Linked DNA regions of Xenopus tropicalis. The main gene of each other region encodes a partner of the protein of the gene in region 3 in a complex. Links are inferred from orthologs where the notes say so. Each region holds a gene or a part of one and is shown on either strand. Other genes may lie near its edges.

Region 1 (4,864 bases), on a different chromosome or scaffold from region 3:
CTAATGGCAGTGACGTGTTTATGGGTCAGTCCCCCCTAGGCCCAAACTGTACTAATGGCACCGACGTGTTTATGGGTCAGTCCCCCCCTAGGCCCAAACTGTACTAATGGCACCGACGTGTTTATGGGTCAGTCCCCCCTAGGCCCAAACTGTACTAATGGCAGTGACGTGTTTATGGGTCAGTCCCCCCTAGGCCCAAACTGTACTAATGGCACCGACGTGTTTATGGGTCGGCCCCCCCTAGGCCCAAACTGTACTAATGGCACCGACGTGTTTATGGGTCAGTCCCCCCTAGGCCCAAACTGTACTAATGGCAGTGACGTGTTTATGGGTCAGTCCCCCCTAGGCCCAAACTGTACTAATGGCACCGACGTGTTTATGGGTCAGTCCCCCCTAGGCCCAAACTGTACTAATGGCAGTGACGTGTTTATGGGTCAGTCCCCCCTAGGCCCAAACTGTACTAATGGCACCGACGTGTTTATGGGTCGGTCCCCCCTAGGCCCAAACTGTACTAATGGCAGTGACGTGTTTATGGGTCGGTCCCCCCTAGGCCCAAACTGTACTAATGGCAGTGACGTGTTTATGGGTCAGTCCCCCCTTGGCCCAAACTGTACTAATGGCACCGACGTGTTTATGGGTCAGTCCCCCCTAGGCCCAAACTGTACTAATGGCAGTGACGTGTTTATGGGTCGGTCCCCCCTAGGCCCAAACTGTACTAATGGCAGTGACGTGTTTATGGGTCAGTCCCCCCTAGGCCCAAACTGTACTAATGGCACCGACGTGTTTATGGGTCAGTCCCCCCAGGCCCAAAGCGGAGGAGGTGGCTGAGAGACTTCCCATATGAGTTACCAGGGTTAGGAGGCAGCAGTGGGATGGGTGCCGGGCTGGTTGGGCTCCAACGTTCTGCAGATCTGCTGTACAAGGGAATGAACTTGTAACCATCCTGTGAAAACAATGACAAGGTGTCTGTGGGTGCAACCACTATAACCACCCCCTTCCCCAGCACTGCCCCCCCCCCCCCCACTAAAGCATCCCCATGTGATCCCCTTTCTTATTTTCCTTTGTAACATTTCTGACACTTATCCCCAGAGCTGCCATCTAAACCCCAATAAACTAATGTCTCTACTGAACCTTACCTGCGCGCTGTTACTGTGCTGGACTTTGCTGTGTTCCCCCAGGCCAAACACAGAGTGGGAAGTGGGGGCCTCCCTGGCACAGGGCCCCTCGCTGTAAAATGAGGGGAACAAAGAGCCTGGAAACTCCATCTAAGAAGTCATCTACAAGGCAAGAACAAGAAAGATTATAAGGCAGTTACATAAGCTAAATGTACTCACTATAATTGGCCTTCAGGCTGGATCCCCTCGGCTCATAACAAATGATTTCTAATATCCTTATCATTTACAGTAGGGGGTACAGTATCCCTTATAATACATGAGTGATACTCAGAGTTCCCTGTATAACTCAGCCTGCAGCCTTGTGCCTTTATATGGGGGGCACAGAACCCCTCAGTGACTGCTAATATCCTTATCATTTACAGTAGGGGGTACATTATCCCTTATAATACATGAGTGATACTCAGAGTTCCCTGTATAACTCAGCCTGCAGCCTTGTGCCTTTATATGGGGGGCACAGAACCCCTCAGTGACTGCTAATATCCTTATCATTTACAGTAGGGGGTACATTATCCCTTATAATACATGAGTGATACTCAGAGTTCCCTGTATAACTCAGCCTGCAGCCTTGTGCCTTTATATGGGGGGCACAGAACCCCTCAGTGACTGCTAATATCCTTATCATTTACAGTAGGGGGTACATTATCCCTTATAATACATGAGTGATACTCAGAGTTCCCTGTATAACTCAGCCTGCAGCCTTGTGCCTTTATATGGGGGGCACAGAACCCCTCAGTGACTGCTAATATCCTTATCATTTACAGTAGGGGGTACATTATCCCTTATAATACATGAGTGATACTCAGAGTTCCCTGTATAACTCAGCCTGCAGCCTTGTGCCTTTATATGGGGGGCACAGAACCCCTCAGTGACTGCTAATATCCTTATCATTTACAGTAGGGGGTACATTATCCCTTATAATACATGAGTGATACTCAGAGTTCCCTGTATAACTCAGCCTGCAGCCTTGTGCCTTTATATGGGGGGGCACAGAACCCCTCAGTGACTGCTAATATCCTTATCATTTACAGTAGGGGGTACATTATCCCTTATAATACATGAGTGATACTCAGAGTTCCCTGTATAACTCAGCCTGCAGCCTTGTGCCTTTATATGGGGGGCACAGAACCCCTCAGTGACTGCTAATATCCTTATCATTTACAGTAGGGGGTACATTATCCCTTATAATACATGAGTGATACTCAGAGTTCCCTGTATAACTCAGCCTGCAGCCTTGTGCCTTTATATGGGGGGCACAGAACCCCTCAGTGACTGCTAATATCCTTATCATTTACAGTAGGGGGTACATTATCCCTTATAATACATGAGTGATACTCAGAGTTCCCTGTATAACTCAGCCTGCAGCCTTGTGCCTTTATATGGGGGGCACAGAACCCCTCAGTGACTGCTAATATCCTTATCATTTACAGTAGGGGGTACAAACACACTAGATCACACAGCTGCACACACAGGAGGCCCAGAGCCAAATGTAACCCCCGGCGGTATGAGTACAGGAGCGAGTAATACATACACTCAGGGACACCCCCGGGAATCACGGTGAGACCGCCCCACATTACTCACTGTATCTCCCACAAACACGTGTAGTTGCACCCTCAGAGCTCACACTCGCCTCCCACAGCGCTACAGTCTCCCACAGCGCTACAGTCTCCCACAGACAAACACCCATTACCGAGCGGACACTCACACTCACACTCACACTCACACTTCCCTTCTCCTCACACCCCACACAATCCGAACCTGAAGTTTTTGCTTGTACCTCTCTCCCGGCCCGTCATAAAGTGTTATTTCAGGTTACGCACCAATGAAGAGTAAGAACGCTCAGTCACATGACCATGTAGCCAATCACAGAACAATGGGCGTGTCTCAGCGCATAGCGGCCATATTGCTACTCGCTGGGTGCAGTTCTGAGTTCCAAGGTGGCGGCTCGGAAGTTTCCTTCAGTTCCCTCCCAAGAGACGCCTTCAAGGTGTGATTTGGGCGTAGAGCTGGGCTTTTGGCTCCTGTCTGTTGTGTCGGAATTTTACACCAGATAAAAATCAACTATTCCCCTCCTGCCATTCCCTAACTATCCCCCCATTCCCTAACTATCCCCCCCTATCCCCCCATTCCCTGACTATCCCCCTCCTATCCCCCCATTCCCTAACTATCCCCCCCCTACCCCCCAATTCCCTAACTATCCCCCCCCATCCCCCATTCCCTAACTATCCCCCCCTATCCCCCCCATCCCCTAACTATCCCCCCCTATCCCCCCATTCCCTAACTATCCCCCCATCCCCCCATTCCCTAACTATCCCCCCTATCCCGCCATTCCCTAACTACCCCCCCATTCCCTAACTATCCCCCCATTCCCTAACTATCCCCCTCCTATCCCCCCATTCCCTAACTATCCCCCCCTATCCCGCCATTCCCTAACTACCCCCCCATCCCCCCATTCCCTAACTATCCCCCCTATCCCCCCATTCCCTAACTATCCCCCTCCTATCCCCCCATTCCCTAACTATCCCCCCCATCCCCCCATTCCCTAACTATCCCCCCTATCCCGCCATTCCCTAACTACCCCCCCCATCCCCCCATTCCCTAACTATCCCCCCCTATCCCCCCATTCCCTAACTATCCCCCTCCTATCCCCCCATTCCCTAACTATCCCCCCCTATCCCGCCATTCCCTAACTACCCCCCCCATCCCCCATTCCCTAACTATCCCCCCCTATCCCCCCATTCCCTAACTATCCCCCTCCTATCCCCCATTCCCTAACTATCCCCCCTATCCCCCCATTCCCTAACTATCCCCCCTATCCCCCCATTCCCTAACTATCCCCCCTATCCCCCATTCCCTAACTATCCCCCATTCCCTCACTATCCCCCCATTCCCTCACTATCCCCCCATTCCCTAACTATCCCCCCATTCCCTAACTATCCCCCCATTCCCTAACTATCCCCTCCTATCCCCCCATTCCCTAACTATCCCCCCCATCCCCCATTCCCTAACTATCCCCCCCTATCCCCCCATTCCCTAACTATCCCCTCCTATCCCCCCATTCCCTAACTATCCCCCCTATCCCGCCATTCCCTAACTACCCCCCCCATTCCCTAACTATCCCCCCCTATCCCCCCATTCCCTAACTATCCCCCTCCTATCCCCCCATTCCCTAACTATCCCCCCCTATCCCCCCATTCCCTAACTATCCCCCCCTATCCCCCCATTCCCTAACTATCCCCCCATTCCCTCACTATCCCCCCCATTCCCTCACTATCCCCCCATTCCCTAACTATCCCCCCATTCCCTAACTATCCCCTCCTATCCCCGCATTCCCTAACTATCCCCCCCTATCCCCCCATTCCCTAACTATCCCCTCCTATCCCCCATTCCCTAACTATTCCCCCATTCCCTAACTATCCCCTCCTATCCCCCCATTCCCTAACTATCCCCCCCTATCCCCCATTCCCTAACTATCCCCTCCTATCCCCCCATTCCCTAACAATCCCCTCCTATCCCCCCATTCCCTAACTATCCCCCCATTCCCTAACTATCCCCTCCTATCCCCCCATTCCCTAACTATCCCCCCATTCCCTAACTATCCCCCCCTATCCCCCCATTCCCTAACTATCCCCCCATTCCCTAACTATCCCCTCCTATCCCCCCATTCCCTAACTATCCCCCCCTATCCCCCC
Region 2 (4,895 bases), on a different chromosome or scaffold from region 3:
TAAAGCAACAGGCAAAAAGTATGTTCAGCACAAGCCCTATTCATTGAGCTAATGTTGAAAATGGGTGTACTTTCCCTTTGATCAATCCCCCTTACCTGCTTTATAGTACCTACATACTATGCAGCCCTGACCCTGTTATCTTAATTTGTTCTGTTTTCATTCCCACACTTGTTTGACTGTGTCATTTAGAGCAGAACATCCAGCCGCATAGCAAGATTGTATTTCTTATGATGTAATATTTACAGTAATATGGTAGGTGCAGGAAACCAATTAGGTTGTAGGCACAGCAAAATACAGCCATACTGACAGGATTTGCAGCAGCTAAAAGGGACCTGTTGGACTGCAACTTCATTATAAGACCAGAGAGGTGGTGATATGCAGCAGTTTTCATTACTGAGAAAGAATTACGCTGATGACAACGAGTTATGTTTACAAAAACAAAATTCTAAAAATCTTTATTACAAAACATGTAATACCTTGCTTTACACAAGAACAAGGAACACTATCATTAATTAACAAAATCTGATATATATGTAACTTAATCATATATATATGTAGAGCAGATGTCAGACACATGTAACTGAATTTTATCCAGGTCAGCGAGCATCAAACACAACCACTGAAATTGAAAGAATTAAGGAAATATTGAATCAGATAATGGAAAATAAAGTGTAGCACTCATGTACCATAAATAAATTTGCAGTAGATGTTAAATAAATCCATTTTACAATTTAGTGGATTGTTATGTATGGTGTGAAGTTCCCCTTTACAAAGTACTTTTTGGCTTTAAATTTGTTTCCAGCTCTCCCTTAATCTTCCTCTCGTGACTGAATAATGCTTATGGCACATCAACTATTTGTTCTACTGCTGCCATACTCCAAAAAAACACTGGAGGAAAAAACACCCCTGTCCACCATAAAGCTGGCCATACACGCACCGATAATATCGTACAAAACCTTGTTTCATACGATATTTGATGCGTGTTTGGCAAGTCGCCGAGTCGACCGATATCACAGGAGGCTGCTGATATCGGTCGACTCGCCGATCGGCCAGGTTAAAAGATTTTGATCGGGCGCCATAGAAGGCGTCTGAGCAAAATCTGCCATCAGGGCTGAGTCGGCAGAAATCATATTGTTTCTACCTCCTTATCTGCCGTTTCAGCCCTGAACGTTAGTGGCGGTTTCAACAACCTTAACTCTCCTCATATTACGAAATGGAAAGCACCATAGCTAACAGAGCAGAGACACACATTGGGGTCAAACGTTTTGCTTAGATTTTATTTTGCTTATTCTTTTAATAAAATGCATTATTTGATCAAATGCTTTTTCCTTCTTCCATAATTGTTTTGAAAAAATAGTTGCAAAAAGAAAGTTCTTTAATTACACTTTCTGCACAGTTTAGTGGAAATGGTAACAAAAACAATTAATGTTTTTCAAAGGGGAAGTTCACCTTCAATTATGTTTCAGTATGTTTTAGAATTAGCAATTCAGTTGCTAAACTATTCAATTGGTCAACATTTCTTATTTTTATTTTTTTTTAGCTTTTAATTTGATTTGGGGCCACTGTGGGAATCCAAACAACTATTGAGGTTACAATTTTATTTGTATTGCTATTTTTTTTACATCCTTCTATTTAGGCCTCTCCTATTTGTATTAGTATTTCTCATTTACACCACTGCATGGCTGCTAGGGTAATTTGGACCCTAGCAACCTGATATCTGCTGAATTTCCAATCTGGAGACAAATAGCTTAATAATTAAAAACACACACATATAATACAAAGACCAATTGCAAACTGTCTCAGAATATCATAAAATTGAACAACCCCTTTAATGGAAATAAGTTTAATACAAGCCTATTTTACAGGCCATTCTCCGTTCCTACACGCATTCAGTCTGGAGTAAATGTGCAGGTAACCAGAAAAAAAGGATACATCGTTTTGTTCTTTTCTTGTACATTATTCTGTAACCACATTCTCTGCACCTGATTGGATCTCTCGCTTTTATTTCATTTTCCGTGTGACATTCTAAATAAAGATGAGAGAAAATAACATGCAGTTTAAAATCTAAAGAAAATCAATGTTGATAAAGACTAAGATAAATATACAAGTCTTGTAAAAAGACAATGTCTGCAAGGACTGTTGTGAGTTCAAATGGAACAACACAAAAATAAGATGTTTATATTCTGGGTATTGTGAGGGGGTCTTGTCTGGGTGCCTGTATCCAATGTTTCAATCTAGTGGTAGCTCGCTATTGATTCGTAGTTGCACTCTCTTCTCTTAATATTATCCCGACATTTGCAGACACTAGCCAATTAACATTCTCAACATGATCTAAACTAGCACTGCAATCACCAGTATCATTCAGCTCTCCTGAGAATGCTGGAAACTGCAGGGCCTCTTGAAATCATTTTTTTCATCAATAATTGGCTCCCTTTAATTCATGACCAACAATGGCATTTAAAAGCCCACATTTATCCAATTCAGCTCCCTAGTGAATACAGGAGCTCCCATGCCTCCATCTTTCTGCAGTATCCCAATAGTTCCTAGTGACTAGTCCCAAACACAGGAAACAGATGTACAGAACCAAAAGTAATGCATATGCTCAGTGCAAGGGACTTATGGGAAACTAATTAAAATGGCACAGGTTCAACTAGTTTAGAATATATATATTCACTGGAGGGTTTTTTGGGCATATAACTTCTCTTTAGGATATTAGGCACTTTTGGCAAAACTCAGGGTGGGATGCTGGGATTGCAGGTGACCAGGAGCCGAAGTTGTAGGTCCCTGATGTCTTTTGAATCCAATAACTTCCTCTAAAGGCACCCCCGAGTAAAACTGACTGCTTTGAGAGAAAAACCTTACCTCCACAAATGTATATCATCGGCTGCTGCTTAGGAGGAGGTGCGTCCTTCTGGCCTTCCATTTTTTCACCTGAATAACATAAATTGCGGGTATTTTATTCCTGCAGAAAAGTCAATTTGCAGTTACAGCCTTTCTCTCACTCTCCCTACCGTAACGTCACTACATACAATAAATGTGACTACTCGGCCTACAATATATCGGCACAGCACTGCTTTCAACTCAGCATGCACCAAACATCCGAGGCGCACGATTCCTACGACATCAGAAAGCGCTCCTACGCGTGACGTTCGCTGCGTGTGTGCGACGGCCATCTTTAGTGTGGGCAACTATATGTTTCCAAGCTTTATTAGTATGCTAGTATTCTTTCACTATGCAGAAAGGCACCGTTGCTATTCTGCATTATTAAAGTGATTGTATGGTGTCATTTATTTATATAATAGTATGAATTTTCTGATTTTATTATGGATTTCAGGTATGGCGTTTGTTGCTGGGACGCCTGTCTTATATACTATTGTTGCTGTGAAAAATGTACTCTAAACATGCTTTTGTGCCGGAATTTGCTTTTATATGTGCAGACAGTGAATCAAGAAACTATCATACCACTTGGTGCCAAAAACAATGTTTTGTTACTGATCCTTTAGGAAAACTAATGCTATCATTACTACTTATTTTAAATTTATCTAATGCCAACCTTAGATAAAGGCTGACATTATAACAAAGTTTTTTTTTTTAGAAATAACACAATTTCCACTCATCACTTTAATTAGTTGATTGGAATGGCTGAACAAAGGCATCATGGGTATGACTGAAGAAAAGCACCATGGGTACTTATCACATGACCTTTGGAACACATTTGAAAAAAAGTGGGGGGTTTACAGGTTTTCCAGTTTTAGCTCAGTTTCATTGATCCTGAGCAAGAGATAGTCTCCAGGTGACCCTCCAGAGAGGATTCAGGTGAACAGAAATATTTCATTGTGAGGATTTTATTACAGGTTTTATTGGTGGTTTTTGAAATAGTTTAGCAGTTAACTGTCTCCTGGCTGTTGGTTGTTTCAGCCTAATAGTTTGGTTTGGTTTCTGGTTGGAAGCAGGATATTTGTATTAAAACAGATACTGCAAATTCCCTAAATCTTGCTTTTGAAAACCTTGCTTTATGGATCATGCTAAAATGTGTGCACCCCAATACTAAGCATACTTCATAAGCCTCTTGCTTTAAATATAGGCATGTATGGGTTACACCAGTGATCCCCAGCCAGCGGCTCATGAGCAACATGTTGCTCCCCAACCCCTTGGATGTTGCTCTGAGTGGCCTCAAAGCAGGTGCTTATTTTTTTTTGGAGTCAAGTTTTGGAGACCTAAAGTCCATGTGTACTGCCAAATAGAGCCTCCTGTAGTCTGCCAGTCCACAGTGGGCCATCTAATAACCAATCACAGCCTTTATTGGTCACTGCCTAGGAACTTTGTTCATGCTTGTGTTGCTCCCTACATTTTTTTTTATATTTAAATGTTGCTCACAGGTTAAAAAAAGTTTGGGGACCCCTGGATTACACTGTAGGAAATAAAGTGAATTGCAATGTTTCTTTTTATAATGAGGAACTGCTGAGCATGAGTTTAGCAATAATTCAGTGCCAGACTGGGGGGTGTGAGGCCCACTGAAATGATCTAAACCGTGGTATATAAGGTATCACATAGAAATGTTTCCTTTTTCCCACAATTGGTTTTAATTTTGCAAATGCAGGGACAATTTGTTCTATTAAAGGGGTAGTTTTAAGTTTAACTATAACTTTTAGTATAATGTAGATAGTGATAATCTGAGCCAATTTGCACTTGGTCTTCAATTTTTAAAATGTTTAGCAGCTCTACAGAGTAGAATTTCAGCAGCTTTCTTCTTGCTAGGGTCCTATTTTTCCTAGCAACTAGGCAGTGACTTGAATGAGAGACTGGAAGATGAATAGAAAAGGGCATGAGCAGAATAAGTAATAAAAAATACCAAAATTACAAGGCCTAGTATCTTAGGGTGAGGACAAAGAGGG
Region 3 (4,236 bases):
CACACAGCAATCAGTTTTGTCTTGGACCTTCTGCTATTATATGTCTGCCCAGATGCTGTAGAAATACAACTCCCAGCATGTCCCAGCAGAAAGCATGCTGGAAGTTGTGGCCCACAGTATCTTTAGAGATGAAGGTTCTCTATAAGCTCTGTACATAGAAGTAGGATAGATTAATAAGGACATGCCCACTGCTTGGGTAACAGCCACATCAAACACACACTTACGGTGGAGGCTTGGTTGGCCGGCCATCAAACTTGTCCTTCAGTTGTCGCTCGGCCTTGGTGAGAGTGGAGCGAGTAATGCCCTCTTCTGTTAAGTTCAGTTCTGGGTGCTTCTGCATATATTCCCTCATTATGTTCTGTTTGTCAGAGAGCAACACAATAGTGGGGTTATTGCAGAGCAGTAACAATAACAACTTAGCCATGGCCTAAGGTGCACTCTCCATTTCTGCTTCTTGCTATGTATCTGCCTAAATATCACTATGGTTCTAAACCCCACCAATCAGAGTTTAGAGCAGGTCCTTGGATGGAAAAGGACCCAAAATAAGCTCTAGAGCAAAAAGGATAGCCCTGAAATAGTACATCAAATGTGCATTCCTGAAGGCCACAGCCTGAGTGTGTACCTAAACATGGGACCTACAGCAGCTCTCTGCTAATGTGCACTCACTTCATATAGCTTGCGTTGCTCCAGTGCCTTATGGATCCATTTCAGGCGCTTCTTATCAGATAACTGGGACCACTGCTTCCCTAATGCTTCCTTCACGTCTTTTGTGCTGGCCTGAAATGACAGAAGTGAAGTTAAAGGTAGTTGCTATCAAATGCATGCCATCTTCCTTGTTCACACACACTCAGTCAGGGCATTGTGTCAGACACAGTCGGACAGTGCAAGTTTTGCTATACCCCACCTCCAACAGTGACAAGCCCTATCGCACACTCACATCAGCATGCAGTTTGAGGTAGATCTTCCTCTCATGGTTATACCACAGCTGCTGAGGGGTCTTGGGCTTTTCCGGGACATCAGATTTCTTTGGATTTTGCATGAGATCAGGATGCTCGTCCCTAAGAGGTGGGGGTAAAATAAAAAGCAGTAAGATGTGGTGGCTTTTCTCTGCTAATATTTTGTTGTTCCTGAACACATACACATGGACAGTTACCTGAATTTAGCCAGGTTCCTCTCAAAGTCCAGCTTTTCTTTCTGGAAGTCCTGGATGTATTTCATCTGGAGAAGAAAGAACCATTAGGAAAGATGCCATTAAACAACACTGCTCTTCCTTTACAGTTCAACTATAGCCTTTTCTCTTATTATATTTTTTACCCCACCCCCTCCACCCATTAGTCCTCTGTGTGTCTCCCCAAATCCAACCCCTCTTTCTGTGCAACTTTCCTACATTTTATGGGTTGTACGCAGCCCTCATCACTCAACACCCCTTCTACCTCAGGTCCTTCACTCACCTTTTTTTTCTCTGGCAACTCTTTGTATTTTTTGGACAGAATCTTGGTGAGATCCAGATTACTCATTTCTGGATGTAGTTTTGCATATTTAGCCCTCTTTTCCATGAAGAAGCGGAAATAAGGGGTGAGCGGCTTCTTGGGAAATTCTGGGTGTTTCTGAAAGGATTGGGGTAAATATGCTGTTAATGCACATGGAATTCAAACTGCTATGGCTAGATTCCAAACCCAAAGAGGTCCGATAGAGTTACCTTCAGTTTTTTCCCTTTGTATGGATTTTTAACATGTTCCTCTGCATCCAAGATCAACTCAGTAAGAGTCCGGAACTTCCTGACCTTATGTCATCAACAGAACAAAAACACAAAACAAAGCTCATATATTGCTGTAGAAAGTATCCCATTGCTTGAGAGAAAAGGCTCCCCCCCCCCCACAGAAAGACGTCTCATTAGCCCACTGTACCTCATTGGAAATTTCCATCCACTTCTGGCGACACATGGAACCAGAATAATTTTTGAAAGCCAGCTTGTTCCAGTCTAGGTGAGACTCTGTTGTCTTAAACTTAGAGTTGTCCTGGCTGGGCAGGAGTGACTTCATGGTTTGTAGGAGAGTCAGCATATCCTCTTGGGACCATTGGTCTACATGGAGAGAGATCAATAAAATGGACTGGGTGTATGCAAATGAGAAAAGGCCACCCCAGAGACTTCACAGTGTTAATCACACTATGCTCCATCAAATAAATTGAATTGTAACATTAACATGGCCATACATGTTAAGATTCACTTGTTTGGGGACAAGTTGACCTTTACTTGATGTGGCCACCAAGGCAGTGCGCAAAATCAGGGGCATTTGATAGTTTGGCCCCTGCACAAATGATCATAATGGGGGCCCATCGGTATTTCACAGCAGCCAAACATCAGCTAGATATACAGATTGGGCAGGATCTCCTAAGGGCCCCATACATAGACTATTAAGCTACTGACTTGGTCTGGGGGGGGAAGGGGGGTTGAGTCCGCATTTAACAGCCTGCGCACGGCCAACTTTAGTTACTCCCAGAACTTTAACTGGAGTATGTAATGGCCCACAAACTGTTGGTTCCCTCATTGCAGGCCTAGTGCTACAGTGACCATTAAACGTGAGGTTTCTGGATCTCAGTCTCCATCATCATCTTACCTTGATCTTTTGGGGCTGTCATGTTTCCTTTTGCTACACCGCCAGCTGCTCCGTTCATCCTATGCTGGGCAGACCCTTAACACCAGCCTGGGAGACTCTCTACATGGACAAAAAGCAGAAAAAACATTATACTTGGCACTACTTTATACACATATCCTCTGGTATTTGGCAGGTCAAATCAATGTAGAATATTTAAAATTATTGTTTCGAGTTTACTCTTTGTTGAAAGAGAAGGCCTGTTTACAATTTTACCGTTATAAATGGTGCTTAGTGATGTAATTGAACTTCATTCACAATTTTGTGTGTAAGAAGAACTAATGTAAAACATGTGGATATTAGAAGTCACCTTGGAATTCAATGTCCTGGCCTGCAGCCTTGTGCCTTTATATGGTCACAGAACCCCTCAGTGACTTCTAATATCCTTGTTATTTACAGTAGGGGGTACATTATTCCTTACAATACATGCGTGATGCTCAGAGTTTTATAATACATGAGTGATGCTCAGAGTTCCCTGTATAACTCAGCCTGCAGAACCCCTCAGTGACTTCTAATATCCTTATTATTTACAACAGAAGTACAGGTATGGAATCTTCTATCCGGAAACCCGTCATCCAAAAGGTTCCCAATTAGGGGAAGGCCATCTCCATAGACTCCATTTTAATCAAATAATTCACATTTTTAAAAATGATTTCCTTTTTCTCTGTAATAATAAAACAGTACCTGTACTTGATCCCAACTAAGAAATAATTAATCCTTATTGGTAGGAAAACAATCCTATTGGGTTTAAATTATTTTTTAGTAGAAATGGTACAAAGATCCAAATTAAGGAAAGACCCCTTATCCAGAAAACCCCTGGTCCCAAGCATTTGGGATAAAGGATCCCGTACAGGGCCGCCGCTCCCTATAAGCAGAGTACTCAGTCTGCATAGGGCACCAACTCCCAAGGGGGCATCATCCCAGCTGCTCCAAAAAAAAAACATTTTTATATGTTATAACATACCCCCCCAACAATGTTCCGCCGGTTTTTATAGTGCATCCCGCTGTCCCGGATAGTTCAATCAATCTATGGGGGCTATTGGGGGCACTTACTATGGGGGCAATTGGGGGCACTGTGTGTGGGGCCCCTATAGTAGGTGTTTTTTTTTAGTATTTCATTTTTACTTACGTAATATTTGGGGGAGGGGGCACAAAAGTAAATTTCCGCTTAGGGCACCCATTTGGCCAGCAGCGGCCCTGATCCCCTACCTGTATATGTTTCCCTATATTTACAGTGTAGCTGGGTAACAAAAGACACAAGGCCACATGCCATAGAAACCTGAAGGGATAATAATGTAATACCCCTGTAATTCCTGTAAGGGGAGCCCTGAACACAAGAACAATCCCATAACACTGTACGGTTTAAGGCAGTATAAAAGGGTATGTAGGCATGGGCTGGGAGTAAATATCAGCTTGCTTGGCATTTTACATGCGATGGGTGTGTGGCAAACACAGTCGGGGCATTACCTATAATCTGCCCCTCCAGCTCTACCATTATGGTCACATGGTTCTGGTATGAGGTTAAGGATATTTGGAGTCTCACAGCTGCGACTTTTGGGGTAGTCCAGGAGATATAGGGGGT

The links. The genes of interacting proteins can lie anywhere in the genome.
Region 1: ubtf (region 3) and taf1c share a complex: the UniProt entries of both Homo sapiens proteins name them as parts of the pol I pre-initiation complex. The link is inferred for Xenopus tropicalis from reciprocal best matches to the Homo sapiens genes UBTF and TAF1C.
Region 2: ubtf (region 3) and polr2k share a complex: the UniProt entries of both Homo sapiens proteins name them as parts of the pol I pre-initiation complex. The link is inferred for Xenopus tropicalis from reciprocal best matches to the Homo sapiens genes UBTF and POLR2K.

The regions. Positions count from the first base shown.
Region 1 is NC_030677.2:215,209,200-215,214,063, reverse strand, and holds the start of taf1c (TATA box-binding protein-associated factor RNA polymerase I subunit C), read right to left. Parts: upstream 3,038-4,864; 5' UTR 2,931-3,037; exon of another isoform or gene 2,896-2,930; intron 2,849-2,895; exon of another isoform or gene 2,754-2,848; intron 1,278-2,753; 5' UTR 1,266-1,277; coding exon 1,137-1,265; intron 944-1,136; coding exon 850-943; intron 1-849. UniProt on the Homo sapiens protein: Component of the transcription factor SL1/TIF-IB complex, which is involved in the assembly of the PIC (pre-initiation complex) during RNA polymerase I-dependent transcription.
Region 2 is NC_030682.2:128,130,943-128,135,837, reverse strand, and holds polr2k (DNA-directed RNA polymerases I, II, and III subunit RPABC4), read right to left. Parts: upstream 3,038-4,895; 5' UTR 2,924-3,037; coding exon 2,863-2,923; intron 2,026-2,862; coding exon 1,933-2,025; intron 620-1,932; coding exon 597-619; 3' UTR 426-596; downstream 1-425. UniProt on the Homo sapiens protein: DNA-dependent RNA polymerase catalyzes the transcription of DNA into RNA using the four ribonucleoside triphosphates as substrates.
Region 3 is NC_030686.2:18,519,016-18,523,251, forward strand, and holds part of ubtf (nucleolar transcription factor 1), read right to left. Parts: intron 2,718-4,236; 5' UTR 2,677-2,717; coding exon 2,619-2,676; intron 2,084-2,618; coding exon 1,908-2,083; intron 1,784-1,907; coding exon 1,700-1,783; intron 1,608-1,699; coding exon 1,452-1,607; intron 1,219-1,451; coding exon 1,154-1,218; intron 1,059-1,153; coding exon 938-1,058; intron 778-937; coding exon 667-777; intron 359-666; coding exon 225-358; intron 1-224. UniProt on the Homo sapiens protein: Recognizes the ribosomal RNA gene promoter and activates transcription mediated by RNA polymerase I (Pol I) through cooperative interactions with the transcription factor SL1/TIF-IB complex.